Rhinolophus ferrumequinum: one gene and its partners. The protein of the gene in region 3 purifies or fractionates together with the protein of the main gene of each other region. This does not show direct contact. Links are inferred from orthologs where the notes say so. Each region holds a gene or a part of one and is shown on either strand. Other genes may lie near its edges. The genes, in order: TSEN15, CLP1 and TSEN2.

Region 1 (10,338 bases), on a different chromosome or scaffold from region 3:
TGTCCATATACCCAGCACTCACCTTGAGAAACAGAACATGACCGTTAACTTCGAGGCTCTTGGTATGTCCCTTCCTGACACAATACTCTGCTCTACTCCCCAGAGAGAAGCACAAGACTGAATTTTGTAGTAATCAGTGTCTTAATTTTATGTAGAACTTTACATTCTGTGATGGTAAATTTATGTGTCAACTTAGTCAGGCTTGGGTACCCAAACTTTAGATCAAATCAGTCTAGCTGTTGCTGTGAGGTATTTTTTGGATGCAATTAACATTTAAATCAGTAGACTTTGAGTAAAACAGATTATCTTTCAGAATGTGGTGGGCCTCGTTCAATCAGTTGAAGGCCTTCAGAGCCAAGACTGAGATTTCCTCGAGAAGGAAAGAATTCTGCCTCCAAACTGCCTTCTGACTCAAGACTGAATCATTAAGTCTTCCCTGAGTCTCCAGCCTGCCCTGCATATTTTGGATTTGGCAGCCCTACACTTGCATGAGCCAATTCCTTAAAACAAATCGATCTTTCTGTCTCGCCTTCTTCTCGCTATCTCCCTACCCCTACCCCACACCCCCCACACACCTCTGCACATGTGCACATCCTATTGGTTCTGTTTCTCTGGATAACCCTGACTGGTATGCCTCCTAAATATGCCTCCAATAGGCATAGTGTTGCCTCTATTAGAATTTTTCTCACATACCATGCAGTTTGCCTACTTAAAGTATGCAATTCAATAGCTTGTATTATATTTACGGAGTTATGCGACATCACCACGGTTAATTCTAGAACATTTTCATCGCCCCAAAAAAGAAATCCCATATTCATTAGCAGTCGATCCCCATTCTCTCCCAACCCTCGCCCTAGGAAACCACTAACCTTTTCTGTCTCTATTGATTTGCCTATTGTAGACATTTCACATAAAAGGAATTACGCAATATGTGGTGATTTGTGGCTGTCTTTTATCCCTTAGCATAATGTGTTCAAGGTTTACCCATGGTGTAGCATGTATCTGTACTTTCTTTTTATTACTGAATAATACTCTATTATATGGACATACCACATTCTATTTATGCATTCAGCAACTGATGGACATTTGGGTTGTTGCTACTTTTGCTCTATTATGAATAGTGCTGCTGTGAGCATCCATGTGCAAGCTGTATTTGAAATTTATGTAAATTTAATCATATTTTATATATTCTTCTGTGACTAATATTTTGCACTGTGCATTAGGTTTTTTGAGATTCATCGAAGTTGTTGATTGAAGCTGTGGCTCATTATTTTCACATAGTAATACATTGTATGAATGTACAACAATGGATTTATCTATTCTACTATTAATAGATATTTGGCTTGTCTTTGTTTTTTTCTGTTACAACCAATACTTTCATAAATACTCTTGTATATGTCTCCTGATCCAAAGGAGATAAATTTTTTTTTTAACCATAACCATCAATTAGAAACACATTTGGTATCATGGTATGCTATAAATATGTAACAAACAAAAATTTCATGAGGCAATACTTAGTAACAGTTATTCTAACTATATGCAACACACACTTATATTTCCTATTCTATTTTAAAATTCATTTTTAAAAACTGGCCCTAATGCATTCATATTTACTTTACAAGCACTAGTGGATCCTTATTGTCCGTTTGAAAAATACTGCTCTAGGCTATGTACCTGGGAGCAGGTTTTGCTGGATCATAGGATTTGTGCATCTGCTCTACTTTTCAGCCAACTCTTGAGGTTTTGTTGCCAATTTCATGGGTATGTTATACTATCATCTTGTCTTAATTTACATTTTCTCACTCTAACAATGTAGATGAGCACCAATTTTATTTGCTGGCCATTTATGTCTTTTTTTTCCCCCTGTTTATTCCCATTTTCCCCCTAGAGAGTGTTTTATTTCCTAATTGATTTTTAGGAGTTATGTTTATATTCTGGATGTGAATCATGTCTTTCAATTATGGGTTACAGATGCCTTCTCCAAGTCTATAGCTTTTTGTCCTCCACGATCTTTGTGTCAAAAATTCTTAATTGAAATATAGTCAAATTTATCAAACTTTTTTTTCACATGGTTGGTGCTTCTTGTGTCTTATTTAAGAAATTCTTCTCTATTTTAGGGTCATAAAATATTCTTATATTTTCTCCTAAAATCTTACATGTTTTGTGTTTCATTTTAAGCCTTTAATCTATCTGGAATTGATTTTGTTTATGGTGCAATTAGGGATCCAAGTTCTTTTTATACAAACATACGTATGTATATATATGCAAAATACATTGCCTCAACTCCTCCCTGCAATGCATACATCATTTCTGCCCAAATTTGTATGCCTGTATTCGGTTCCATCAGTTTACTTATCTATCCCTGTACCGATATCACATACTGTCAATTATAACATTTATAATAAGGTCCATCGGTTTGTTCATCAGAAGAATCTTGGTTATTTTTGGCCCTTCGTGCCCACATTTCAGAATCAGCTTATCAGGTATTAGGAAAGTCCCCGTAGGGATTGTGATTAGAATTGCTAGAATTTATAGATCAATTTGGAGGAAATTGCCATCTTTACAATATTGAATTTTTTTCTTCAGAAGCACAGTATGTCTTCCATTTAGGTAAGGTCTTCTCTCATGATCTTGGGTAACATTTATAATGTTCTCCATTAAGAGCTTGCTTATCTTTACTAGGTACCTTATTTTTGTTGTTGTTGTTTTTTTTTGCCCCAAATATAAGCCGTATTTTAAAATTTTAAATATATTATATCCTGATTTTGTAAAGGGGGAATTTAGATTGCACTGTTAAATTAATGAGAAATTGGAGAGAACATATTTTTGAATTACTCTAAATTATTTTCTGAATGATAAAAAACCCTCATATATGCTCATTCATATGAATAGTAAAATATCATAGCATTCTAAATATTTTACCCAAAGTGTAAACATCTCACGTACTCTCCTTGAGACACAAAGAATGGGAAATTCTGTGCTTTATGTACAAAAGAAGGAACAAAATATATATGAACATTCTTACGAGCAATGCGTTAAAGCTGATCCAGAATGCTAGCCTAAATTTTTCAGCTTGAGATCATTGTCTTATACAATACTGTGTAAAAAGTTTTTCTTCTAAAAATTCACCTCACAACTCAAAGTGTGTTTTTCCTCTTGAGATTCTAACTGAATTAATATGTCTCGGCCTAGACATTACAGATATTTTTGTGGGAATAATATGGTCTGGCTCACATATCAAGATGGGAAATCAGTAGAGCAAGGGCCAAATTACATTGAACTTGATCACATCCAGTATACTCAGGGGGCATTTTATTTGTTGTTACTTACCTAGCTTTTTTTCCAAACCACTTTGCTTCTCTAATATAGTGAACTACTTAAGTATGTGTAAAACGAGAAATCCTTCACTCTATCAAGAGCTGAAACTCAAACCTGTTCTCTATGGATTTCAGTCTACATTGCCACAATAGTCATTTGGATTCTAATCCTTTAAAAACTAGGTTGTTTTAAGTGTTCTCAAATCCTTTGTTTCTTTTTTCTTAGCCATACCCAATTACCAAGGTCTATTTATAAAATTTCATGGCTTAATACAAAAGCCAAGAGATACTCCATTTTCATCTTTTTAAAATAGACAATGACATTACAATTCATAAGCACTTAATATTCGTGCTTAAACGTATCTTGCTTTTTGTAAGCAATAGATCATCATCTGTTTGCCAGAGGGTACCATTACCTGTTGTCTTTTCAGTTTACAGGTCTTTCCGCTTCTTTCTGGGATTCCCTATCACCCTCCCTCGGTTTTTTTCTTAAACTCAAGTTTAAACTGAAAATCTTCCCCTGAAGGTAGTTGAGGATTGTTCACATCGTACCTAATCCATTGGATTTCCTTACTGATTTATAAAATTTACCCTCTACTCATATTAGGAACAAAATGCTCTTAATGCTACTATAAATACCATCATCTAAATGGATTGGGAGGTCAAAGAGAAAGATTTATTTGCTTCCAGTGACTTGAATTAATGTCAGTGTTCAGTGCTTTAAGGAGCCTATTAATTTCAGTGCTATTTGCTTCTTTAGAGCTTAGCAGGGGCTTTCTGGAGACAAATGTTAATGACTTGATTCAAACGCAATACATTCTAGCACAATTTATAGATCTTCATGTGTGGTTTTACATCACATTCAGGAATAGAGGCACTTCTCCCTGTGTGTAATACGCGTATATTCCATTTTTTTGATGCATTCAAACTTTTTATCTGGCTTTCAACAGTTTGACTTCAGCATTGATTTTGTTGTATTTATTTTACTTGGTATTCATTTAGCATTTTGTACCTGCAAATTTCTGTCCTTCATCCAATTTGGGGAAATATTTTATTCAACGTTTTTTCCTGCTTCATTCTCTTTCTTTTCTCAGCTGGGTGTTCTATTTGTAAGTATGTTGTTTGATATCATGTTGTGGGTCTCTGAGGCTCTGTTCATTTTTTAAAAATCATGTTTCTTTGTTTTTCATCTTGGATGATTTCTTTTGCTCTACCTTCAAGTTCACTTTTTCCCCCTCTGCAATTTGGCTGTTAAATCTACCCAGTGAGATTTTTTTTTCTGAAATTTTAATTTTCAGGTGCAGGATTTCCATTTGATTCTTTTCTTCTGCTGAGATTTTCTATTTGACTCGTGAGATTTTCATTCACTGAAAACATGTTTTATTTTGCTTCGTGGAGGATAGTTTTCATGGTTACCTTCAAATTCTTTTCTGTCAGTTTCAACATCTGATTCATCTCAGGATTGGGCTCTAGAAAATGTAATCCAAATGTGATTTTCCTGTGTCAGTAATTTTGATTCATGTCTTGGTCATTTTGAATGATGAGTTGTGGAGGTTTGGGGTCTATTATTTTTCCATGATGAGTGTTATTTCCTTTATATTAGTAGGTAATTTTCTTGGCTGGATTATTTGCAAACTCTGTTTTTTAGGGACAGCTCTGGTCTCAGTTCAGATCCTTTGTTGTCAAATGAACTGCTGTAATTCTGTTTCGAGTGGTTCAGGACCTGTCGGAGATGTGAGCCAACAGAGTTTGGGAAATCCCCTCTCTGGAGCCTTCCCTTCTGCGATTTCCTAATGTCTTAAGCGTTCAGAGTTTCCTGGCTTCACTTTTCTGGTTCCCCAGATAAGAAAAATGGAGAGGTTTTCCATATGCACCCCTGCTGCCGCTGAGCCTGCCTCCTGGACTGTACCGAGTCTCAAGCTAAACGCCAAGGAAAGGAAAATTTTCTTGTATAGTTCTTATCTGTCTCCCAAGCAAGCTGCCCTTCCTACCAGTGAGCCTGCTTCTGTTTGCATTCAGTATATTCTGGTAGTTGCTTTTTGTATAACGTCCAAGTTTTACATTATAAATGTTTTCTACGGGGGGATAGTCCAGTAGGGTCTTAGTCATATTTGGAAGCAGAAGTTCTTTCTCTGCCTGTGACTTTGAATCTTGCCTTGCCAAATGCAATAGCCTCCTAACCAGTCCCTCCTTCTACCTTTGCCTCCTAAGGTCTATTCTCAACATATCAGCCAGAGATACCATTAAAACCTAACAGGAATTTCCAATGTTCTCTCCATGTCACTCATAGTAAATCCAAAAATGCTTACAATATCCTACTCTGCCTATCTGAAACTCCTCAACCTTGGTTTCCTGGTCCCATGTTTACGCTAGTTTGCATCCTACTTTTCTGACCACTCATTCAACTATTCCTATTTCCTCTTGCTCCTCTAATCCTGAAAGGTGGGTCCACCCCAAAATTACAGTTCTCAGCAGTCTGGTCTTTCTTCTTTTCACTTTCATCTACAGAGATCTCCTCCACTTCCACACTTTAAGCTTACATGACAGGACACTGAATGAGACTTTCCCTGTTCTCAGGAATTGGAGACCAGGACCCGATGCTGAACGCAAAGAGGCCATAAGGATTCTCTACTTTCTCAATAGAGCTGCAAACAGCACTGATGTAAGGAAGAGTTAAGGGCTTCTGGGCTCAGGAGAGTGAACCTTCTTCACTCGCGTATCTGCCCGGATTGGAATACACGCACCGCGAAACTAGAGTGCGTTTGTGCACGTTCTCGCTACTGGTGTCAGAAGGCGGGGCTGATCTCCCTTTGCGGCCAGCATGGGAGTCCTCCCGGGCGGAGGCAGCCGGCCGCAGGGAGGCGGAACCCAGACGCGCGCATCCCTGCTTCTGGCCGGGCGCGGGGCGCGGTGCACCACGGGCGGGCGCCACCGGTCGGCATGGAGGAGCGCGGCGATGCCGAGCCGACCCCGGGTTGCAGCGGTCTGGGCCCGGGCGGCCCTCGCAGCGGCGGCGGCGCCCACTCCTGGGCCCCCGAGGACGCCTGGATAGGCACCCACCCAAAGGTCAGGAAGCGCGAGAGGAGCGGGGCGTCGGTTCAGGCCGCTACCCCCGGCGGACCCCCGGGCTGCACGCTACCCTCCACTCCTGCGGGGCCGGGTCGCTGAGTGTGCGCGCGACCCTCACGGAAGGGGACCCGAAAGCACCCTGCCAGCCGCAGGCGGTATTGGTTTTGCGTGTTGAAATGAGTTGAACTGTTGCTCAGACACGACCCCCTCCCCACCTCCCCCCCCCCCCACCTCCCCCCCCCCCCACCCCCCCCTCCCCCCCACCTCCCCCTCCCCCCCACCTCCCCCTCCCCCCCACCTCCCCCTCCCCCCCACCTCCCCCTCCCCCCCACCTCCCCCTCCCCCCCACCTCCCCCTCCCCCCCACCTCCCCCTCCCCCCCACACACACACTTCGCTCGCTGTTCTTATCCGCAGGGAAAGACAAACCCAGCCCCTCGCAAGCCAGAGGCCGACAGCAGCCACACCACTAATATCTGAGTTGTTGCCGTCTAGGGCTGGTTCTGGGGATGGGCTCATTTACTCCCCACAGCAACCACGCAAAAACAGTTTGTGGGCCACGGATAAGATCTAAGAGACTGTAATGATGAAGGTGTAGGCACTTGGCCTCGGGCCCACACAGTGCGTCTGGATTTTGCTGAAGTGCAGCTTCCTAAGTTTTCGAATTTCTTGGAAAGTTAGGTGCCTCCCCAAAGCAAGAACTACTCATCTTGTGGGTGTATTTTTCTCTAGTAGCAGTAAGGGAGGGAAAGAGAATTTCTTGCTTGCTTCTGTTGGCGCAAATTGGTGCCTTGTACCAGTAATGTGCCAAGCAATGAATGGACGATGAATGGCGGCGGTGGGGGTTTTGTAGGAATCTCAGGGACTGGTCTGGTAATTTTAGTAGAATTGCAGCCTCCTGCTGGAGAGCAATGTTCATAAGGGATCACCTAAGAACAGTCAAGAAAAGGAAAATTTTGAGGATACCAGCCTGAGAAGTTAACCCCTTTTCATTTTCTCCTGCTTAATTTTTTCCAGAACTCTGTCCCTTTATTCCCCCTCAAGGTGAGAAAAACACACAGGAACATGGAGAGGTTATGCAGTGCCAGAAAAAGAAAAACCATAAGGTGGAGAGGCAGCACAGTGGTTAGGAGTATGAACTCAAAGTCACGTTGCCTGAGTTTGAATCCCGGTTCTGTCACCAGCTTTATGATTGGGGGCAAGTTGTTTAATCTCATTGTTTCCTCATGTGTAAAATTGGAGTAATAACTTACCTCACAGGGTTATTACAGGATTATATCAGTTAAAGTGTGTAGAGCAATCGACAACATAGTAAGCTCTGTGTAAGTATTTAATAAGTAAAACACCCGCAACAAGTTTTAAAAACCTCATCTAGATTTGGTGGTGCTGTCAGTGTTTATAATTGCAGATTTTTTTCCCTTTGAAGTTAATGGCTATATAAGCCCTGACCATCAGATCTTCCCTTTTGATTTTCTTCCTGAAGGATCTAATTGATTAATAAAAAAGAAAGAAAAGAAAATACATTGGGTCCTTGATTTTTCCAGTTCTGCATTTTTAATATTCGATTTGAAAATAACGTAGTCTACCCAGTAATATGGCATCAGCTGTATCACCCTTAAACACCACTTTCATTATATTATTCTCACGCTTAGAAATCCTCCATGTTTCCTTATGGAAAAAAGTCAGAGTTTTAGCTTAACCGTCAAGGCCTTGCAACCTAGTTCCCAATTACGTTTTCAGTGCTTGTTTTCAAGCACATGTGAAGTTGGAGGAAAACGAACCACACCCCTGTACCTGTATACTTGCGATGAAGCGATGACGCCGGTAGGAGAATGTGACATCAGATATGTAGCCAAGAGGGTCTACTGATCCCTCACCTCTGCATTAGCCCCGCTTACTCATCTAGCCACTGCCTAGGTGGACAATCTCAGGTATCCCCTGAAGCAGCAGTAGCAGCTTTCTTGGTCCTTTCTTTAAAATCCAGCAACTAAAGAACTCCCTACTCTTAAGTGGGAAGAGGTGGGGAAAGAGGCCAGGAGTGGTATTCTAACAGAGTTTTCTCCACATGCAAATAAGAGACCAGGGAAATAGAAGCTTCCACTGACATGCCGCAACAAAAATCTTATTAAAAAATGTCTCTACTCCTGGCAGGTAGGTTTCTTTATAGGCCTTTGAATATGTGTGGCTTATTCTCATCTTTGTGTGATTACTTACACTGTTACTCTACCTTCTCAATTTACTCAAATCGTATGTGTCCTCCAGGGCTCAATTGCATCCCACCTCTGCCATAAAACATTCACCAATTAAGCCATCTGAATGGAGCATCTCTGACCCGTTGTGTCACGTTTTTGTAATTCCACTCACTTGGCTTTTAATTACTTACTGTCATTGTTATTTGCCTAACAAGTATGCAATGTGTTTATCCAATAATTGGAAGTTTTTTAGATGCAGGGATCAGATCTTAAATTGCCTTGTAACTCCCACTCTACCTAGAAAAGAGTTTTATACATTAGATATATTTAATAAATAGTTGTTGATTGAGTGAAAGAAAATATTAAGAGATTCATCCTTCTCTGTTTAACAATTACCTTTTGATTTTCAGTATTTAGAAATGATGGAATTAGACGTAGGAGATGCCACCCAAGTTTATATAGCATTCTTGGTTTACCTGGACCTCATGGAGAGTAAGTTACTTGTTTATATTGTTTCATTATTGGGTCTGTGGTGAAGAGTTGGGGAGTTAAGTTGGAATATTGCATTGCTGACATTATAATAACCATCATATATGCATTTACTGTTAATTTTGTCAATTTAGTAATTTCTTCATTTACATTGGAAATTACCGGGTAGCAGAAAATACTGAAAAATAAAGAGAAGAGAGTGTTATGAGTGGTATTTTCTCAGCTGAGTATTAGGTAGAAGTTTAGAATTTTGATTTTTGATTTTTGATAAACACTACTTTCCATTCAATGATGCTCTTTCAGGTAAAAGCTGGCATGAAGTAAACTGTGTGGGATTACCAGATCTCCAGCTCATCTGCCTTGTTGGTACCGAGATAGAAGGAGAAGGGTTACAGACTGTGGTGCCTACACCCATCAGTGCTTCCCTCAGCCATAACAGGTGGGCAGTGATTTTGGTCTTTGGTTAACAGGTTAGTTCATCACATCGTACACCTTCAGCTTATGCAGTGTTATACGTCAGTCATGTCTCAATGAAAAAAAATGAAAGCATGGTGGAATGTGAGTGGATGAGAATGATAATATATTACGGGGAATATTAATTTTCTGTTAAGAAATAACATGACAACTTTGATACTTCATTGTTAGAAATGAATTGTTTTCCACGTACTGCACAACCCATCTGAGCACAGCAGTTTTGCTATCCTACACTATGCAGCTTAGCTGTTTGATTAGAGTACTTTTTAAAAAAATGTTCTTTATTCCTTAAAAACTTTAAATAGCATTTTTATTACTAGAGAATCTGGGTGGTATACAAGCCCGAGAACCAGAGGATTTGGTGATTTGCTGGAGGTGCAATTTCATGTTATTTACAAAGGGCATATAGCATAAAAGGCATTACAGCTATCCCCTGTCTTGAAGTCCCAAGTTTGTAAAACTGGACCAAACCCTGTCATTTACATAGTTAACTACAACTTGGTTATAAAATATTTCTCGAGTGATGACAATAAGTAATCTCACTTATCCTTTAAAATCACTTCAGGAGCTATCTTGACTATTGAGTGGCAGAGAGGCCTATATTAATATATTTGTATGGCTTATTCTTTCTGTTGTTTATTTTATGATGTAAATGGATTTGCTGATTCCTTAAAAGGTAACAATTTTAGATAAGATTTAACATTATATCTGAGTGAATTTCTAAGACTCCTTACACAGTTTTTATATCCATTTCCCACTTATTTTCCCAGGCTTTGAACCTGGTGATTTTATGTACAGT
Region 2 (9,544 bases), on a different chromosome or scaffold from region 3:
GCCCACACGTAGGAGGCTCCGTAGAGCTCCTTTGCCCCTTCCACTACTTGAGGACACAGCTAGAAGTTGGCAGTTTGCAAACTGGAAGGAGAGCCTTCATCAACACAACCATGCTGGTGCCTTGATCTTGGACTTTCCAGCCTCCATAACTGTGAGGTTTCCGGTGTTTATAAGCTATTCAGTCGACGGTATTTTGTTCAAGTAGCCAGAAAAGACTAAGACACACCCCCTCTCTCATTGTTTCCCACTGCTCTTGGATTACAAAATCCCTACATTATGTTTGCTGCCCTTTCCAGCCTCTTCACCTGGATTCACTACACTCCAGTCTCACCGGCAATTCCCTTCACCAACCACATCAAGCTTTTTCCTTTCTTAAGTTTTCACACTGTTTCCTCCACCAGAAATATTTTACCCAAATTTTACACAGCTATTTAGGTCTTAACTCGAAGTGTATGCTTAGGAGAGGCCTTTCCTGATCACCCAATCTAAAGTAGCCTCTCGGTCACTGTCCCATATCACCCAATTTGAAGTCTCTGCATATAGCACTTATGTTTTTTGTGTTCTGTAAATTCCATAAGACTTTTAGTCTATCCTGTTCCCTATCTAGAATGGTTCCTAGCAAATAGTAGGTGCTCGATAAATACTTGTGGAAAGAAGGAATGAAGGGCATCAGATACTTATTCAATAATCCAGATCCAAACTAGGAACCCAGTCATTTGCAAGAGATCAGAGTATGGACTTTTCCTTGAAAGCTCAATTTACACTTTGATTTAGGGCCTGATTCCAATCAAATAGACAATAGGAAAGATAGCTGCAGCTGGGAGAAAATAAGCCATCTCTGGAAAATGATTAGATCTGAAATCTCATCCCAAGTTATCACCAGCCTCTTTGGTTTCTCATAGTAACCCTGGCTCTGGCAACAGATTTGCCATCTAGTTACTTAAGTGCAGAGGAACGGGGAACCATCATAAAAATTCACCTGTTTGGCTCATAGATGCGCTCTTGGCTTTCCTCTCTTCTAAGCATTTAGCAATAGATCATAACAATGATGGTTCTATAATTCTTAAGGGGAAAAAAACAATTTGAAAAAACTATACCAACTTCTGTGATACGGCAAAAATATTTATTAAAATAATTTTTTCCCAAGTTTGAACTTTATTGCAAGGAGGCCTTTTAACACAATCTTTCATTCTGGATAAATGAGATAAAAAGTACTATATACAAAATATAAAACAGTGATAAAAACAGTAAAAGAAATGGGATTCCCTAGGGCTTTCAAGATTTCAAAGCAGCCCCTCGGGATCAAAGAAACCAATTATATTCCCATGGTTTTCCTTTTGGTTCAAAATTAGAAGAGGTGTGTTACCACCACCCAAGAGGTGGGTTTTTAGAGGTAGAACATAAACTTTCTACTAGTCACTATTTACTTGTCAGCCTGTTCTCAACAGATTCTCATACCTCAGCCCACCTGCCTTTGGTGATGGCCAGATCTCCATGCCCCAGGCAGCAAGGCTTCCTGTTGATCTCTATTTAAGATCCATGAACCGGATATCCATGATGAGAAGGAAGTTCTTAGGCAGTGGGCGGGGGGCTGGAGAGAGAACAGTAAACATCTGATGCTCCAGGTCCACACTGGTCACCACGATGAAGCCCGCCACACTGGTCTCGGAAAGGTTCTCCTCTGTGCCCTCAGCAGTGCTAACACTCAGGAGGTGGTGCACCATGTCTCGGCCAGGGGTGACAGGTACTAGCTTGAGCTGATTGTCCTCCTGGGACATGCCCAAAGGCAAACAGGAGTCTGGGATTGTGGGTGCCCCAACTTTGTAGATTTTCACATCTGAAAACTTGACATTGAAGGCATGGGGATAGAAACAGCCCCGGAATCCATAGAAATACTCACGGATACGCTCATCCCTACATTCCCGCCGGAAGTCCTTAGAGCGCTCAACCACACCTCCTGATTTAGGGAGCAGCACAGTGCGTACAAAGTGAGGCAAGTCCCGTTTCAGTTCATTGTACAGTCGTTCTTGATCCAGAACCACAACCACATCCACCTCAAAGGCTGAGGCTGCATGCACCAGGGCCTGGTAACCAGAGCCCTTCACCCAGCCACAGGTGTTAATGACACAGCCACTCACAGAGGCCCTTCGGTTCACTTCACATCTTTGGTTGAACACATCTGCTAAACGAGATGTAATCTGCAGAAGAAAGGATCAAGGTGAGGGGGAAAAAACCGCAAAAAAGAACAAATCCATAGCTATTTTGTCCCTCTTTAGAAAAAGTGGTGTTAGGTACAAGAAAAACAACATTTTATAATGGCTGTGGTTTTGACCCCCACAAGATGGATTTAATGTTTATGTTGTTTCTTCTGTCTCCTGTTTCATGTTCCACATGGGAATTTATGGAAATTTAATAATTACTTAAGAATAGGTCCACAGAAACATTTACAATCAGAGGTTGACTTATATCTGAAACTGTCTTTTCTGAAATCATGTGGCAATACCAGCTAAGGGAGCAAAGCAATGGCCGTAGACAGTTTTAACTAGCAAACTTCTGCACAGCTTCCTACCTCAATACCCACCCTTCCCTCCACCCGACCTTGGCTCTGACCTTATTATAAAGCTTGATGTTGGTGCCAGGAGTTGTGGAGCCAAAATGATACACCAGAGGGGCCTGGATAGAAAATCCCTCTTCAACATCTGCAGGCCGCTCAATGTAGAGAGCTCCCATGGTGCCAGGGATAGAAACAGAGCCTTGGCCCACATCCAGCTCCACGTAAGTGGGGCGGCGGCCCAAACGCACTGCGTAGTTGAGCAGCAAACGGCACACGGTGGACTTGCCCACATCAGTGGGGCCCACGACCATCACCCGGGGGCCTCGCTCCTCTTCCTTCTCCGCCTGCCTCCTCATCTGCTCCAAGGCTGTGTGCGTGTTGAGGTAAAGCAACATAGGGGTGTCCTTGGAGACATAGGCCACCTCAGTGCGGCCACTCAGCTGGAGAGAACAACCATGCCAAGTGAAAACAGCCACCTTGGCACCAGCATCAAAGGTGAATTTCTTGTTTCGGGTCAGCTCTGTGCCAAAGATTTCTGCCATGCCAGCCAGCAGCTCCAACTGAACTGACTGAGATGCCTCCACCTCAAAGCGAAGTTCTGTTTCTCGCTCTAGTTCAAATTTAGTTGCTGGCTTCTTGTCATCATTGGCCTCCTCTCCCATCTTTTCTGTGTAGCTGTTGTGCCTACAATACAAAGTAAATTTCAGATCTAAACAAGTTAGAACTCTGTTCAGAATCCTCCAGTGGATGTTACTCCTTATCTTGCTTTATTTTTCTCCTTATCGCTCATCACCATCTGTCTCACATATTTTATTGTCTGTCTATCCTCACTAGGGTTGGGCATTTTTGTTTTGCTGCTGCATCTCTAGTAACTAGAGTAGGACTTTAAAACCCATAGGCACCTCTATAAATACACCAAGTGAATAAATGACTCAGACATAATTAGAAAACTGTATCTACAGATTGACAGAACACTTGGTTACATTATCTCATCATTCCCTTCACTCTACTGGGATACTCCAGACTTGAGAAAGCAAGGGATGCCGACTTCCCAACCCTTAATCAACAAGAAAGGGCATCTGCAATCCGTATGCAAAGAAGAGAATACCTGGTGTGAACTTAGAAAACAGCATTAAGGCCCTGCTCAGCAACGACTAGTAGTGTGATCCTTTTCCTCAGCTGTCAACCGGAGGCACTTAAACTTCCTCACACAAAAGTGTTCTGGGGATTAACAGGGATTATTGAAGGGAAAAAAAACACTTGGTAAGCTAGAAAACGCCAAGGAATAATTAAGACTTACAGTGGTACCTCGCTTTGCTAACATAATCCGTTCCGGAAGACCGTTCGAGTTCTGAAACGTTCGAAAACAGAGGCGCGGTATCCCCATAGAAAGTAATACAAAATGGATTAATCCGTTCCAGACCTTTAAGATCAACCCCTAAAACTACAAATTTAGCATGAATTTTACTATCTAATGATACTATAGATCCATAAAATTTACAGCTTTTATAAACCAAAATATTCGTCAACAGAGACATTCAAAAACCGAGGTACCAGTGTATTTCTCATACAAGACTGCAGCTCTAGGTCCGGCATTTGTCCCAGCCTCCCCAGACACAAAATCTGCCCAGGCCCCAAGGAAGCGACAGTAGCTTTCCTGAACTTATTATCTCACCTGCACAGCCACGAGCCCCAAATGGAGAAGCCCGCCCACACAGGACCTAAGCTCGCTGGGACCCACGCCGGAAACAAGGGTGGTTCTGCACTTGCGCAGTGGAGGAGACACGGTGGCGCGATGCCCCTTGGGATATATAGTTGTACAGAAACAGCCCCAGCTTATGCAGCCGCTCGGCCTTCTGGGAGTTGTAGTTAAAGGATTGTTTTGATAATGACGCCAAAGTGGGAGGGGCTGCGGCCAACGTTGTTCGCAAAGTGGGCGGGACGCGGGTAGGAGTGCCGGTTACGCCCCCGCGCGGGGCGGGGACCGGTTGAGGAGCCGTGGGTCGCGTGGGCGCGGCCGGTGTGGTTTCTTGCCCTGTGTTCCCGCTCACCTGCTACCCAGGAAGGGGAACGGAGGGGGCCTCACTATTAATGTCCCACGATAGCCTGCTTGCCTGGACCACAAGCCAGGAAGTGACGAAATTGGCAAACCCCTCTTGGACACGAAGAAACCTAGGTGTAGGGAAAGTGGAGGAAAACAGCCTGTCAGAGGCCCACCTGGGCTGTCATCCCCTACCTGACTCAGTGCTTGGCACCTAGAGGGCATTGAAAACAACTTTTTTGAATAAAAATCCAAGAATTTCTTCCTGTTACTCTTTACCCAGTCATTACCCAACCACCTCTCTTCTTTTGAGTGGGGAGTTTGGTTGGGTACTCTTTGCCCTCCCTAAATCCCTGACAGTTACACAAGGTCAACAGGTTGGGCTACATCTATAAGCCACTTCTCCCCAGCCTGGGCTTTGGAATCTTGTATTCTTTGCTATGCGACTTGCTCACTTTGTGACTGGGCGAATCATAGCCTTAAACTCTCTGAGATCCAGTTTCTTGTCTGTAAAATGGGGATGATAACAGTACCCGACCTCTTAATGTCGTTTTGATGATTGAATGGGATGATACACAAAGTACTAATGCCTGTACTAAAGCACGATGTACAAAGTTCTAAAGCACGATGCCTGTAACACAGAAAACATTTGATGTCAGCTTTTAAGTTTTTATTATAGTCTGAGGAAGCGGGGCTATAATAATGCCATCCATTTGTTACAGTGGTTTCCATTTTTCAAAGCCCTTTCAGGTTACCTTTCTTCACAGTCACCCTGTAAAGTAAGTTTTATTATCTCCAATTTCAGATGAGGGGGAGATGAAGATAGGTGAAGGGACTTGACCAAGCTAGGACTCAAACCCAGGATTTTGGAGTCTGAGTCCAGTTAATATAATAACAGCAAACACATAGTCTTAGATGCCAGGTGCTGTCCTAGGGCTTTACAGGTGTAAATTCATTTAATCCTCAGAAGAGCCCTGTGAAGTACATACTACCATTGTCATCCCTGCCTTATAGATGAGTACTTTTTTGAGTCCAGCTCACATGGTTAATCTGGACTGAAAGCCCAGAAAGATTTTCTGGTTTGCCTTTGTCCCACTGACCCTACCTTAGCACTCACTTTCTAAGAGTGCCATCCTCACTTCTCACAGTTTTTTCTTTGATAGCTTGTTTTAAATATTTCATGCATTCACCATGCGTGCATTAACTCTCCAATGAACTATTAGATATTCCCTAATCTTTCACCATTCTTCAAAAATTCAATTCCAGTCTTCCATTCGCAAGTTTTCTCCCCGAGTGAGCTCATCTTCTTCTCCTGTTTCCGAGCAGTCTATTTATTTCCCAGGTCTTTTTCTTTGCCTCCACACCCTCTCCCCTGAGGCAATTTCTTCCAATTATCTGAAGGTCATCTTTATTTGGATATTGTATAGCTATCTCAAACTGAATTTAGGGAAAAGAAACACCCCCACCCCCGCTTAGACTTTTCTCCATTTTGCTTTCTAAACACAGAAAGAGTCAGGGCACATTTAATGCATCTGTGCTTGCCTACACACTCTCTTTTCTCTTTCACCAAGCACTCCTGTCATCTCCACCCCACCCCCAAATAACACTGTCCTCATATCTTTTCCAACCTCCTCTCCAGCTAAACTACCTTGATCATTTTCTTCCCAAGTTAATTTAAACTGATATTCTTTTTGCTTCCAAACTTTTAATCCTTGTCCTAAAACTACTCACCTTCCGTTTTCCCACTTCCCACTGTTTTCCTCAAGAATTGTTCCGCATATTCCTCCTGTGTTTATATTTCCTTTCTTATCTGTTGCCCAGTCAAGATCACGTCCCTCTTCTTTCTTTACCGAGTTTTCCCTCTCAATTTCAAAGTTCTGGTACTATCACCTACATTGTGTTTTCAGAATTTACCTTAAACCCCAGAATCTTCTGATTAAATATTTAGAATTCCTTTATTCACACCCAGCTAGCAATGCCTCCCATTACATTTCCTTACCTTACTTTTTTTTAAATCTATATTTAACAAGGCTTTATGTAAATCTTGCATCAGAAGATGCCATTAGTTATTGAGGATGGAAGGCAAAGAGGTTATATACTAAAAGTATTTTTTGAGGGACTATCTTGTGACTCATTAAAATAAAAGTTCAGGTTAATTTTTTGTTTGAAGTAATTGGTTAGGAAGGAATACAGGAAATCCACAGAAAAAGATAGCAACCAGAATGATATCAGCCAGATTTTGAATATTCCTTCACTCTGAATCCTACCTTACGTTTGAAAGAAAAACTAACCACCCACAAGCAGTCCTTTCTGTAAGCCCCCATCTTTGTCACACTTCATTTCCTGAATGTTAGCCTCTGTTAGAAATCAGGGAGTTTCTCTTAGAGGATGTGTTCTGTGTCCACATACTTCAGTGACATGCACAGGGCAGCACTTCATAAGAAATATATTTTTTAAACTTTTATTTATTTTAAGTGTCTTTTTTTCCAGGACCCATCAACTCCAAGTCAAGTAGTTGTTTCAGTTTAGTTGTGGAGGGCGCAGCTCACAGTGGCCCATGTGGGGAGTGAAGCAGCAACCTTGTTGTTAAGAGCACCACACTCTAAACTACTGAGCCATCCGGCCGCCCCCATAAGAAATATTCTGAGTCAAAAGAAATATAACTGGAAGCTGATAGAAAGATAGCACTGAAAGACGTGAGTTCTTCAAACGACACAAATTTGGCATGTGTCTCTTGAGCTACCATAACTTAATAATAAACCCTCTCTCTGGGTTTCAGGGTATCAAGTTGAGAACATACTTTTGAAATAACAGCGACGGCTGTTTACCAGGTGCCTATCAGGTGCCAGGCACGTTTTAGCTATTTACATGTCATCTCACTTTGCTGCATGTCTCTGTGAGGGAAATATTGTTAGCCTCATTTAGCAGAAGAGGAAACCTGGGCACAGAGAGGATCAGGAACTTGCCCAGTGGTTCCTGGTGAGTATATTGGCAGAGATGGGATTTTATCTCAGGTCTCTTTAAAACCAAAGCCAGACACTGGGATCACGCCTGAAGATGCAATTCAACTGCTGTTTTGGGAGCATCACCTCTGCACTTAGGCATTGCAGTCCTGGGGTGAACAGAGGAACTGCCCCCGGGACCTGCCTCAGAAAGTTTACAACCCGGTAGAGAACCTTATGTAATGCGGGTGTCTCCGTTCGTGAAGCACAAGCAATTTGGCGATAGTTGATAAGAGGTTCCCACACGTGAGATGTCGCATTTGCTCTATGACTCCTTGGTGGGGTAGGCTATTACGCTGAGGCTTTGAGGTTTGCAAATGCCTGGTACAAGCTTGGGGGCACAGTTTGCCATATGTGACAACTAGTATGTCTTTCTTTTCTCTGCATCAGGGCTGCTGTCCATCTGAGCCGAAATGAGGAATATATCATTTTGCATGTGTGCAGGCGCCACTCTGCAACCATCTCTCAGCGTCACTTGCCTTGCCACCTCCTTTCCTCCAGCCCTGCCACCCGTGCTCCATCCTTGCCCAGCTCTGTCCTTCCCCCAGGTTCTCCTTGACCACACTGCCTTCCTCCTCGGTAACCAGCCTGTCCTCTTTCTCGTCCCCTCCTGGTCCTGTCCCTCTGCTCCCAACCCTTGCCCCACTCCCTCATCCCCGCCCCTCGATTCCTGTCCCCCCTCCCTCCCGCCCCGCCTCCTGTGTCTCCCAGCCCTGCTCTGACGTGGGAGGTGAGGGGGTGGGGGGCGGATGACTCACAGTGTTATGATGCAGTCCCACAACCAGCTACATTCACCCACAGACCGCGGTGCAGACGGGAGGCAACCTCTGGCCCCCCAGCAGCTGGCCAGCTTTGCAGCCCGTCCTGAGCCCCTAGTCCCCTCCCTGCCCCCATCCCCTTCGCAATTGAAGGAGCGGAAAGAGAAGAGAGAAGAGTGAGCAGAGAGATTGAGAAAAAGAGAGATAGACGGAGATCTCTGGAGCAGACCTCAAGGTGAGGGGGCAGCCCTTCTCCAAATGAATTTTTTTTTCCCTTTGCAAATTTCCTCCTCCTGCTGCGTGTTGCTTTCTCCCCTTTGCAAAAGCATTATTCATCCACCCTTTGTCCTCCCTTCCCCCTCCCTGCTGCCTCCGCTCCGCTCTCAGAGCCTCCATCCCTCTCCAAGCGCTGATGGTTCCCGCACTTATTTCCTGGCAACTTCAGCTGCAGCATTAGGCATCACTGTTTATTGTTTTGCTGCTGGTGTGGACCCCCCAAAGCCCGCCCAGGGAGCTGGCTGTGCTGCTAATGATTTTGGACCATACCATGCTGAGAATGCCAGCCCAGAGGGGGCCGAAGCCTCAGAGCAGATGAGAAAATCCATTGTGAGCAGGTGGCCTCCTCCCTTTTTTTCCCCTCCCGAGAGGCATGGGATTCGAACCTGGTTCCTCCAGCCTCCGCCTCTGGGCCTCTGCTGTCGGGGATGGTTCCCCGGCACCCCCACCCCAGTCCTCCCTCTCCCCTGCCTCCCACGATCCATCCCCGGCTCACTTGGGGAAACATCCTCTCCCCAGCACTCAGCTAGCTTGCCTTTGTTTTTTCCCCAGTCATTTGCCCAATGTGCTTTTCCCTGCGATCTGAGATGGGGAAGAAATGACCCCTACTCCCCCTCCTCTGAGTATTCTCTATCCTTCTGTGCAGCCTCTCCTTGCTTGATGGGGAAGCATTAGAGAAAGGGGGCGGGAGGCGTGACGGAGGCTGGGGAAGGAGGTAGAGCAGGGACCTGGCTGGCCCCCTCCCCGGGCCCTTGAAGGTGTGCTAGGTGGAGCGGCAGAGGGGTACTTGCAGGCAAAGTTGGAGGCCGACTAGTGAAGTGGACGCTGACCAGTGTGCTGGTGAGGAGGGCCCATTTCCTGCGGCCAGAGCCCAATGTCACCCTGAACTCAGCCCAAGGTGTCTTCCTGGGGC
Region 3 (10,592 bases):
CTGAGGTGAACGTAGCCAGGCAAGCAGGAAAGCCAGGTTTGGGCCCTGTTGGGCCTGTTCTCCCCTGTCTCCTGTGAGCAAACCAGAGTTCTTCAGCCACCCAGGAAATGATGATTCTGAGCTCAGAGGTGGGGACCTGCAGGGGATCATATACAAGATAAAAGCAACTTGGGACAAAGAAGAATTCTAGGAGAGAGAGAGAAACAAAACACAAAAGGATAAGTAAGATATGAGACCATAAAACATACTGTATGAATGCAGCACAGCGGCCCTACAGGTAGCTGGGTTTAAAGCTACCTCTGTCACTTCTTAGCTGGGTTACCTTGGGTAAATAACTAACTTCTCTGACTCACTTTCCTCACCTTCAAAATGGGGATAAGAAAAGTCGTTACTAATAGAGCTGGAATGAGCAATAAATGAGTGGTAAAATGAGCCAATGCAAGGAAAGTGCTAGGCTCTATATCTATCCCATATTATTTTGTGTAATATGACAAATGTAAAGGAAGAGGGGAAAAGAGAAAAAGCAATAAGATTTTATTTTGCTCTATTTCTTTTTAGTGATTGATAGTTTGCAAAGAACCTTGGTGTTCGTGACTTTACATGCTGGTCACCTCAGCCCCGGGAGATGGGCAAAGTGAGAATTACCTTTAATTTCCTGTTGGAGTACCTGGTGCTGGAAAGTGGGTGTGTCCCCTCAAAGACACCCATTAAATGTTCTTATATGACCCTGAATTCAGAGAAAATGACGAAAGGAAAGGGAGGGAACGAGGGAGGGAGAGAAGCCAGAGGGTGTGCCCACTTCCGGCCATCTCTCTCCCATAGCGGAGGCATATCTTCCCCAGGGCCCCTGCACCTCCTCCTGTTCCTCTCTGTCCTGCTTGTGGGGTTCCCACAGCCTCACCTGGCGCTCACTTCTCCCAGGTGGGAAGGACATTCACAGGTGGTGGGACCTTTTGTAGGATGCCAGGAGTTGGACCCCATCAGCCACATTCCCCTAACAGAGTCTAGGACTGTGCGTCTCAGTGCCAGAACCTGTCTCACTTCCTCTGATGACCTTCTCCCCGTTTCCTCTCAGGCCATCCCAGAGTACTGGCAACTTGTAGTTTTCTAGTTTTGTATTTATTTGTTTGCCCAAAGCATCTTTCTGTGCAAACATTAAAACAGTTAAAGAAATACAACAAGTAACTTATCATCTATATTCCCACTCCTATTATTTGCTTTTAGTTTTTTTTTTAAGAAATTAAACGTAGAGCTAAAGTCCTCTTATTTCCTACCCAACTCCCACAGATAGCTAATGAATTTGGTGTTCACCCTTCCTGCTATTTTTAGTTTAGCTTACCTATAGATACATTTAGTATTTTATATTGTTTTGTGTGTATTTTAATTTACACAAATGGCATCAGAGGACTCATATTGTTCTGCATCTTGCCTTTATCACCAAACATTGTTTTTTAAATCTATCCATGTTGTTGTGTATGAGTATGTAAGAGCTAGTTCATTCCTTTTAAGATGCACAGTATTGCATTCTATGAACCTTTTAAACCGCACTTTATATGTCCATTTCTCTAGGGACGGTCATTTAGGTTGTTCCTTTTTTTAAAATTACAAATCACCAGGCTTTAATAAAGAAAAAGAAAATGTTGTGTGTGTGTCTCTTCCAACATCTATGCCCAAGTTTCTCTAGCAAATTTACCCAGAAGTCAGATGTGCTTGATTGTTAGTCACAGGGCAGAAGTAGACATACCTGTGATCCAATTCCCCCTCTGGTGCTTACTCCCTGTGTGACCTTGGGAAAATCATTTCATCTCTCTGAATCTGTTTTCTTACCTGTAAAATGGGTGCATGATAATCCCTAACTCACTGGGTTTTGAGAGAATTGAGACTTTCTAAAAAGCACCTGGAATTGTGCGTATAGCAGGAGTTCAGCTCTCATCATCCAGGCTACAGGTTTTTCTAGCAACCAAAGTAGGATTTAAAGGCAATGCCCAACGCTTTGCACAAGGGCCCAGCAAAGCAATGCCTTGGCGGCTTGCCCAGACAACCTCTTACCACATCGTATCAACTATTTCCCCTGCCTCGCCTGGTGTCAGCTTGGTAAATAATAGAGCAAATGTACCCCTCCGTATCTCAGTTTCCTCACCTGTAAAATGGGGTAATAGCACCTGCCTTGAACGGCTGTCGTGAGACTTAAAAGCTAGATAATATAAGCAGAGAGAGCACTTGTTAAAACTGTCTGCCCTTTCCTGCTCACCCTGACCCTTTCTCTCTTTCAGTTGTGAAATTATCTGAGGTTCTATCTCACAGGCAGGGTGAAACTGGACTGTGTTCTTGATTTGATTTTGGTTTCACGGCCCTTGCATTTTCTGTTGCGGATGCTGCGAATAAACACGCGCACGGTTTGCGAGGACCCTGTGTTTGTTTTCCTCGCCGGAAAGCAGTGTCCGCGAGAAGCTGGGTGGTTTAAATTTGCTAAAATATCTCCATCTAGTGGACTTGCTGCAACACTGCAGGGTTCGGCACTGTCTGGGAAAAACAATAGTGTGACAGCTGGGGCCGCCCTGCCCTGCTCAGAAACGCCAGTGGCTCCCCATTGTCTACGGGGTGAAGTCCAAAGGCCAAGCCTGGAATTTGAGCGCCGGTACAATCGGGCTCCGCCCTGCCTATCGGACCTTATCGGCAGCTTCGACCTCCTGTCCCCGCCAGGCCCAGCTCCTCCCCCGCTCTGGAACCTTCAGGCCCACACCTGCCTGGCACGTGGACCAGTCCTGTGCGGCAGACCCCATCTCCATTCTCCTCTCCACTCTCCCCAGGCTAAATCTCCTTCCAGGCTCAGCTTAAAGGCCACCTCTTCCAGGAAGCCTCCGGGTCCTTCAACCCATCTCGGTCTTCTGTGACTTCCCACCAACACTTGCTGTCGGTCATTTTTGTATTGCCACATTTAAAGCTGTGTTTTATCAATGCACTACCCTCCCATATCTAGCCTGATGGGTTAAAATAAATGCAAGCCCCATTGTCTCCCGGATCTGGATCCTCATCTGGCCTCCACTACTTCCTCGCTCTGAGAACTTGGGTGAGGGAAGGAACCCCAACTGTGAAATAGAGATGAGGACACCATCTTACAGGGCTGTGGTGAGAATGAAATAAGATAGGATGCAAAGTGGTCGGCGCATATTAACGCCAAATAAATTGTCCTTAGGGTGGTCAGATAAAACACAGGATACCCAGTTGAACTTGAATTCCAGATAAACAATTTTGTTTTTAGTATAAGTATGTCCCAAATAGTACATGAAGTTTCCGTGTGACATATCACAGATAAACGCTATTGTTGTTCATTTTGTTAGATGTGCTAATGATATTAGGGATATATATATATATGTGTATATATATATATATATATATATATATATATATATCAGTTCATCCTCACTATTGGTGGATTCTGCACTTGCAAATTCACCTACTAGCTAAATTTTACTTGTAATGCCAAAATCAATACTCACAGAGCTTGGTCATTTGTAGACGTACACATGCATACAGCGAAGAAAAATTTGTATCTTCCAATATGCACGCTCTCAACTGGAGTCAACAGACATATACTTTCTTGTTTTCAGCTCTCATACCCTAAACAAGTGTGCTTTTTTCAATCTCTTTAGTGCTATATTTTTCTCATTTTTGCACTTTCTGTTGGTGATTTCGCTGTTTAAAATGGACCCTAAGCAGAGTGCTGAAGTGCTGTGTAGGGTTCCTTAGCCAAAAAGGCTGTGATGTGTCTTACAGAGAAAATAAATACATGTGTTAGATGAGCTTCATTCAGATGTGAGTTATAGTGCTGTTGGCCATGAGTTCAATGTTAGTGAATCAATAGTAGATATTAAATAAAGTGTCTTTAAACAGAAACACACATAAAACAAGCTTATATATTGATCGGTGGATGAAAATGTTGTGTCCAGAGACTGGCAAGAACCTAACCCTGTATTTCAGCTGGGAGCAATGGTTCAGTATATTCACTAATTCAGTGTTCGCAGGGACACTATAGAATTACTGGAATAATGAGAATCAAATATAGGTATATATATAATAAAATTTAAAAATTAGAGGTACATACTGAAATATTCTGAGTGAAATTATATGATGTCTGGTGTCACTTTAAAATACTCCAGGAGTGGGATAAAAGTGTGTATATGGAGCGTGTAAAAGAAATAAGATACTAAAGGCTGAAGATGTGGAAGTGATGATTTATTAGATAACTCTATTTTATGTATGTTTGAAAGTGACCGTAACAAAAGGTTTAACATACACATTCAGGAGAAAGTCTTGAGGGAAGAATATTTTATTCAGTAACTTCCACTCTGTGGGGACCCTCTGTGGAGACAAGGCTCCAGATGACAGCTACCTAAGATTCCATTATGGGGGAATCCCAAGCCCCTGGCTGTGGAGCAGGAGGAGGTTCAGGAGACTGGCTCTAGTCTCAGCATCCCCCTCAGACTGCTCAGCTTCCTATGACAACTCACAATGCCTCTGAACCTTTTTTCTTATCAGTTAAAATATGAAGTTGTACTGGATAACCTCTGAGTTCCCTTTCATTGTTAAAACTCTAATTCTAAAACCAGTATTTCCTAAATTGGCACGTTCTGGTACAATATATCTCGCCCAACTCTCTGTTCCCTGCCCAGTCCATTCTGATACCACTCTTCTATGAATCCTGCTGAAGTTCTCCCTTTTTCGCAACACTAACAGAAAACTATTCTGATTTTGGCTTATCTGAAGTCTGAACTCTTCAGTTGAGCCGTTTAAGGCCCATCGTGTCTTGAGCTCTTTCTACCAAGAGTTCATAGACCAGTTAAGGAGGACCAGGAAACAGGGGACACAGAGGAAAGTCATCCAAGGTGGTCTAGGGAAGCAAAAGGAAACCTCCTAGAGGAAGAGCTATCTGAACTGAGACCTAAATGGTGACCAGGAATTACTGCTGCAAAGAGAGTAGGGAAGAATGTTCCGGGCAGAGGCAACAGTGAGTTCCAAAGCCTGGAAACAAGAGAAAATTGGGAAAGGTCCAGATTTCAAAGCCCATCACATCTAGCCCCACCCTTTCCTGTTACCCACCTTCCCCAACTGCCTAGCATGTGTGGTATGCGCCCTGAGGACCCTGGAGTTCATATTTGGGCAGATATATAGTATTGGACTTCCTACCAGGCCACCTTTAAAATAACCAAGTCAGGAGAAACTTTTACATTTCCCAACACACTTTTGCTCATCCTTCATAATCCTGGCAACCCATTTTTCACTAGAGGGAAATGAGGCTCAGAAAGATTGTCACTCACTCAAGATCACACTGTCAGTGAGATCACAAATGCAGATCTGACTCCTGGTCTGTTCTTTTTACTGCACAGGGCAGCCAGTGCACAGTGGTTTTCGGTCAGGTGTGTGCGAAGGGGTGCTTCTTTACGCCCTGCATGCTGCAGCTTATACGTATGCATTGAGTAAGCTGAAACCAGCGTCAGGGCTGACTTCAGCCTCATTTCCTCAGGGCCGGGGTCGTGTAATAGACTGACTGGTCGCTCAAGAGTCCCATCTCCCCAGGGGCGAGGACTCTGGGTTAAATCTCGAATAACGAATAACTTCGAACCTCATCTGTAAAATGGGTGGTGAGGGATTGTTGTCAGGATTAAACGAAAACAGCATCTGTGCAAGGGGACCTCCGTATAATACCCGGGAGGACAGGAAAGAGGACATGTTGCCTTCGCTTTAATATGCGAAGGTCGAGCCATACGGAGAAGAGAACTGTACGCAGGCGCGCTCCGTAAAGACTTGGCGGGCTGTCCCTCGGGCTCTGCGGCTGCGCATTACGTCCGGCTTTGCGGCCGCACTGCTTGACGGCAGCGGTGTCCGCCCCCCTGGCCGGCGTTGTCAGGGTAACGGCGAGTGCGTGGGGCCGAAGGAGGTAAGATTCTTGGACTTGGGAGCGGGCGGTGTATCCCGGCGTGGAGCGCTGTGGTCCCAGCGCACGGGGCAGGGGCGAGGTTCTGTCAGTCCCAGGAGGAGACGTAGCCTTCTCCGGAAGCCCTCCGGGGCGACAGTGACAAGGGCCTAGAGACTTTCTCCGGGTTGCACAGCCGGACTAGACTGGGCCGGGACGGGGAGCTCGGCTTCCCAGTTCTGCCTGAATTAACCACTCTTCCCCTTCTCCGTGCATCTGTAGTCCTTCGTACTTCTCTTTCTTCCTTCTTTCTGGAAACATAGACGCCATGTCCAGGGCTGGGGACGTCGAGGTACATCCAACACCGCCTCTACGCGAGAAGACCTCAGCCGCTAGTGGGGTTGCTGCGGGGTGGAGGGGATAAGTTCAGACAGTTACGGATTTGTTGAGCCCTTAACTCTTTTTGGCTTGTGTGCCATCATTTATTGCAGTGGCAGCCACCGTCTGGCTAACACTTCCACGTGGTAGTAGGCCCTGTACTGGGCACCTTTGCACAATTACCCTTTTAATCCTCACAACACCCTTCAAAGGTTTGTCGTTTGTTTATGTCTTAGTCTCGGGTTCTAACTTGAAAGATCCCCCCGAGGGAGGACTGTTTGCCTTGTCCCTTTTATCTCCGCCTCCCCTAGCCCAGGAGGTAAGCAGTTGGCGTTTCAAACATTTTTTAATTGGGAAAAGGTGAACTTGCTAGATGGTAGGTAGGTATTAACCAGGCTTGTTTGGCAAGGCTGACCCAGGGAACTGGAAAACTAAATGTAGCTTACCTTCCCCGCTCGGTGTTTTGCTTTGTTTTGTTTGGAATAAACAACTGAGCGCCTAAAAGGTGTTATCTGCTCAAGGGAAGAATAAAGAGCAAGCCGTGGTTTCGATGGAAAAGTGAATTACTTAATGAACACTGCTGTTGTCGTTTGGGAAAGGAAAAGGAACCACCTCTTACAGGTGCATATCCCTCAGCCCCTCTGAGTCCTTTTCCTCATCTGTACAATGGGAATAGCAACGTCCTTACCTCAGGGGGTTATTGGGATTAAGTGTGTATGAATAGGCCATCCTCTCACCAGTGGTTGGCAACTTTGGTTACATGTTGAAATCATCTGGGTCCCACCCCAGAATTTCTGATGTATTTGCAGGTAAGGCATGGACAGTAGGAGTTTTAAAATTTACCCAGGTGAGTCTAAGGACAGCCAAGCTTGAGAGCCATTCTTATATGCCACCCCGGGTTAATTTTCTTGATCTCTTTTCAGTTGTCATAAGCTGCACTGGCTCTTAAGTCTTAAACCAGCCTTCACATCCCAAACCCCCTGACAACTAATGTAGTCCTTCCTTGTTATATATCTCTGTGCTTCAGACATACAGGTCTTTTAGGCCAGTTTTCTTACCATGCCTTCTCTCCCTACCTTACTAACCTCTTACCTTCCCTCACAATGGGGCTTTGGGCAAATGACCTGCCCTCTCTAAGCCTCCGTTTCCTTGTCTGTGAAATGAGGATAGTACCACCTGTGTAGCATACACCACAGCCAGTGCCTACTTCGAATGCTGTACCTACCCATAATGGTTACCCTCTTCTAATCTTACATTCCACATCTGGCATCATGCTGTTCTCCTATCATGGCACTAAAGAAATGTTTCTTAAATGCCTGTGGCAGTTTTGGACAGTAGTAATTCAGTCCTTTCTCCCCTGCTTTGCCTTCTAAGTTCAGCACAAGACAACTCTTCCACAAAACTATGAAGCTAGAGATCATCTGGTTTGTTCTGTTGACTCTTTTAGATACAGCTTTATGGAGAGATCATTCACATACCATAAAATTCACCCTTGTAAAATGGACAAGTCAGTGATTTTAGTATAGTCACAGAGTTATGCAACCATCACCATCACTGCAGTCTAATTTTAAACATTTTTTATCACCCTGAAAATAAACCCCATACCTATTCAGTCACTCCCCATTTCTCCCTTCCCCAGCACTGGAAGTCACTAACCTACTTTGTGTCTCTATGGATTTGCCTATTTTGGACATTTCATATTAATGGTCTACAATATGTGGTCTTTTGTGACTGGCTTCTTTCACTTAACATAATGCTTTTAAGATGCATGCACATTGTAGCATGTATCAGTACTTCATTTTTTTTATTATTGCTGATAATATTCTATTATATGGATATAGCACATTTTGTTGATCCATTCATCTGTTGATGGAAATTTGGGTTGTTTCCTCTTTTTAGCTATTATGAATAATACTGCTGTAAACATTCATATACATATTTTTGCACGAACATGTTTTCAGTTTTCTTGTATTTATACCTAGGAATGGAATTGCTGGATCATATGGTTACTCTGTGTTGACATCTGAATAACTTCCAGACTGTTTTCCAGTCCTGTTCAAATTGAAGATGAAGAAACTGGGCTCAGAGAGCTTCAGTGGGTTGTGAAGGTCAAATGATAGTAATGGCAGCTTCCATATATATGGAAGGCCTCCTATGAGCCACGTTTTTGATGTACATTCTGTCACTTGGGCAGAAGTGACACTAGATCCCAGATTTTGAGGGTTTTGTGAAAAACAGTGTTTTGTGGCAGGAACCCCTCTATCACACACTCTGTTGGAATACAGAGTTCTTGCCATCAAGTATCATAGTTCATTCTTTCTTGTTTTAGAGTAACAGCAATCTGAAAGCAAAAACACTAAACAAACAAGGATTAAAATATACCTTTTCATTTTTGCTTGTTTGAGAGAATTTAATTGGAAGTTCTAGAAGTTAGCCCTTTTAAACATTTTCTCTTTAAAAATTCCAAAGGTAATATATACAAGTCAAATACTAACCAGAGGTTAAGTGATAAAAGTGAAAATCTCATAAAAGTCTGAATCATTCCTGTAAATCTCTAGAAAGATCCTCATTAGAGATCAACATCCTGCCTCAAAATAGCCAAAATAGCATTGTTTGAGTTTTAGAATAAATTGCGGTTTCTTCAGTTGAATATTAAATGCAATAGTTGGCTTGGATCGAGGAATAAGGCAGCAAGTGAAAATCTAGTTAAAATGTTCTTGGAAGAAAAATACCTTAATTGCGGTATACATGGTTTTGTTATGAATGCTGTACAGCAATGTGTGTGTGTGTATAAAATGTGTACAGTCATGCTCAGTATGTGATTCCACTGAGGGATCTTAGAAATTAAATTATCCTAGCGTTTTGCTGCTTGGAATACTTCGGCAATTCTATGAAGGTTCCAACTTGCTGACCCTTCTTTTTCGTACTTATCTCTGTAACTGACGTGTCAGTCTCTCTAACTCTTCCTTGGTCTATGTTTGTCTTTATCCTCATTTAACTCCTCAGCTTTTTTGAGAGGGTGGGGAAAGGTACCACACATTGGACAAAGCTTTTCATTTCTTTTGAATGGTCATGAACCCTTAAAACCACTGCCCTTCCTTCCTCAGCTTCGGCCCCCTTCATGGCTGTGTCAGGCCTGATTACATCCATCGCCCAATGGGATGCTGCTATTGAGTGCCGGAGGCACCTCAATAGTTCGTCCTACTTTTCTCCTTTTGAGGGCTTGGAGCCGCATAGGCTAAAGGTGTGTGTGCTATGGCTCCATGGGATCTCCAAGCACCAGATTCTGCTCTCCGTTTAAATCGAGTCCAGACCCGGCAGTGAAGCAGGAGCAGATCCAAATCTCCTGTCTCATTCCAGGGCATCCGTCCGTTTGCACTGTTTGCATTTTTTCCCCTTGCGTATGTACGGTTGAGTTTTTCCTAAGTTAAATGCATCAACTGTGACTCTATGTCTTTATCGCACAATACACTCAACTTTACTTCCTTCCTCTAGCCATTATTGAATGGCAGCCTGTTGTGTGTTAGAGGCTTGTTTTGTCTCCTCAGGCTGAGTGTAAAGCCTGGAAGGGAGAGGTACTGACTTCAGCTTCCTTGACTCTCTTGTAGTGCTGGGTGCACAGTAAGCAGTCCCACAGTTCTCAGTAACTCTGACATTCAGCAGACCTGGGCGAGTCCAGTGCCCCTACTCCCTGGAGACTTTTACAAAATCTCCCAAACCTGAATCTGTTTCCTCATCTGTATAACCGTGTTGGTAGTATGAACCCCTTCATAATAGCCACAGCAAACACATGCATAGCACTCGGTGTGTGCTAGGTACTCTTCTAAGCAATTTATGGGTCTTAACTATAAGACAGAGTCTATTTTTACCCTTATTTTGCACATGAGGAAACCAAAGCATGGAGACATTAACTTTTGCCCACAGTCACACAGCTAGGAAGTGATGAAGCAGATTTCTATCTCGGCACTCTGGCTTTAGAGGGCCTACTCTTAGCCATCACCTATGGAGGTATACAATAGAGCCTTAAATGAGAACCGCTGCTATCATTGTTATTATTTATCAATTTGCCTTAAATATTGAAAAATGATTGACATAATGTTAGGAATGTATTTTAAGGTCCTTTTTTTTGGAAAATGAAGTGCTCACTGGATTTCATTCTTTGAGGACAAGGTCTCTTTTGGTTTTATCTTTATCTCCTCAGCACCTCTGACTATTAGTTGCTGCTGGTAGGTGCTCAGTAAATGCCTATTGACTGAGTAAAAGAATGGGAGTAATCCTAACAGACAGAAATCCTATAGCC

What was found.
Region 1: the proteins of TSEN2 (region 3) and TSEN15 purify together in Homo sapiens (affinity purification with mass spectrometry; 4 studies listed by BioGRID and IntAct, counting the BioPlex papers as one, with this or other methods). This does not show direct contact. The link is inferred for Rhinolophus ferrumequinum from reciprocal best matches to the Homo sapiens genes TSEN2 and TSEN15.
Region 2: the proteins of TSEN2 (region 3) and CLP1 purify together in Homo sapiens (affinity purification with mass spectrometry; 3 studies listed by BioGRID and IntAct, counting the BioPlex papers as one, with this or other methods). This does not show direct contact. The link is inferred for Rhinolophus ferrumequinum from reciprocal best matches to the Homo sapiens genes TSEN2 and CLP1.

Annotation. Positions count from the first base shown.
Region 1 is NC_046305.1:15,433,815-15,444,152, forward strand, and holds the start of TSEN15 (tRNA-splicing endonuclease subunit Sen15), read left to right. Parts: upstream 1-6,237; 5' UTR 6,238-6,257; coding exon 6,258-6,383; intron 6,384-8,986; coding exon 8,987-9,068; intron 9,069-9,368; coding exon 9,369-9,504; intron 9,505-10,338. UniProt on the Homo sapiens protein: Non-catalytic subunit of the tRNA-splicing endonuclease complex, a complex responsible for identification and cleavage of the splice sites in pre-tRNA. It cleaves pre-tRNA at the 5' and 3' splice sites to release the intron.
Region 2 is NC_046294.1:11,512,133-11,521,676, forward strand, and holds CLP1 (polyribonucleotide 5'-hydroxyl-kinase Clp1), read right to left. Parts: upstream 4,351-9,544; 5' UTR 4,230-4,350; intron 3,995-4,229; exon of another isoform or gene 3,855-3,994; intron 3,776-3,854; exon of another isoform or gene 3,663-3,775; intron 3,239-3,662; 5' UTR 3,217-3,238; coding exon 2,611-3,216; intron 2,199-2,610; coding exon 1,527-2,198; 3' UTR 1,107-1,526; downstream 1-1,106. UniProt on the Homo sapiens protein: Polynucleotide kinase that can phosphorylate the 5'-hydroxyl groups of double-stranded RNA (dsRNA), single-stranded RNA (ssRNA), double-stranded DNA (dsDNA) and double-stranded DNA:RNA hybrids. dsRNA is phosphorylated more efficiently than dsDNA, and the RNA component of a DNA:RNA hybrid is phosphorylated more efficiently than the DNA component.
Region 3 is NC_046300.1:41,979,738-41,990,329, reverse strand, and holds the start of TSEN2 (tRNA-splicing endonuclease subunit Sen2), read left to right. Parts: upstream 1-5,837; 5' UTR 5,838-5,938; intron 5,939-10,592.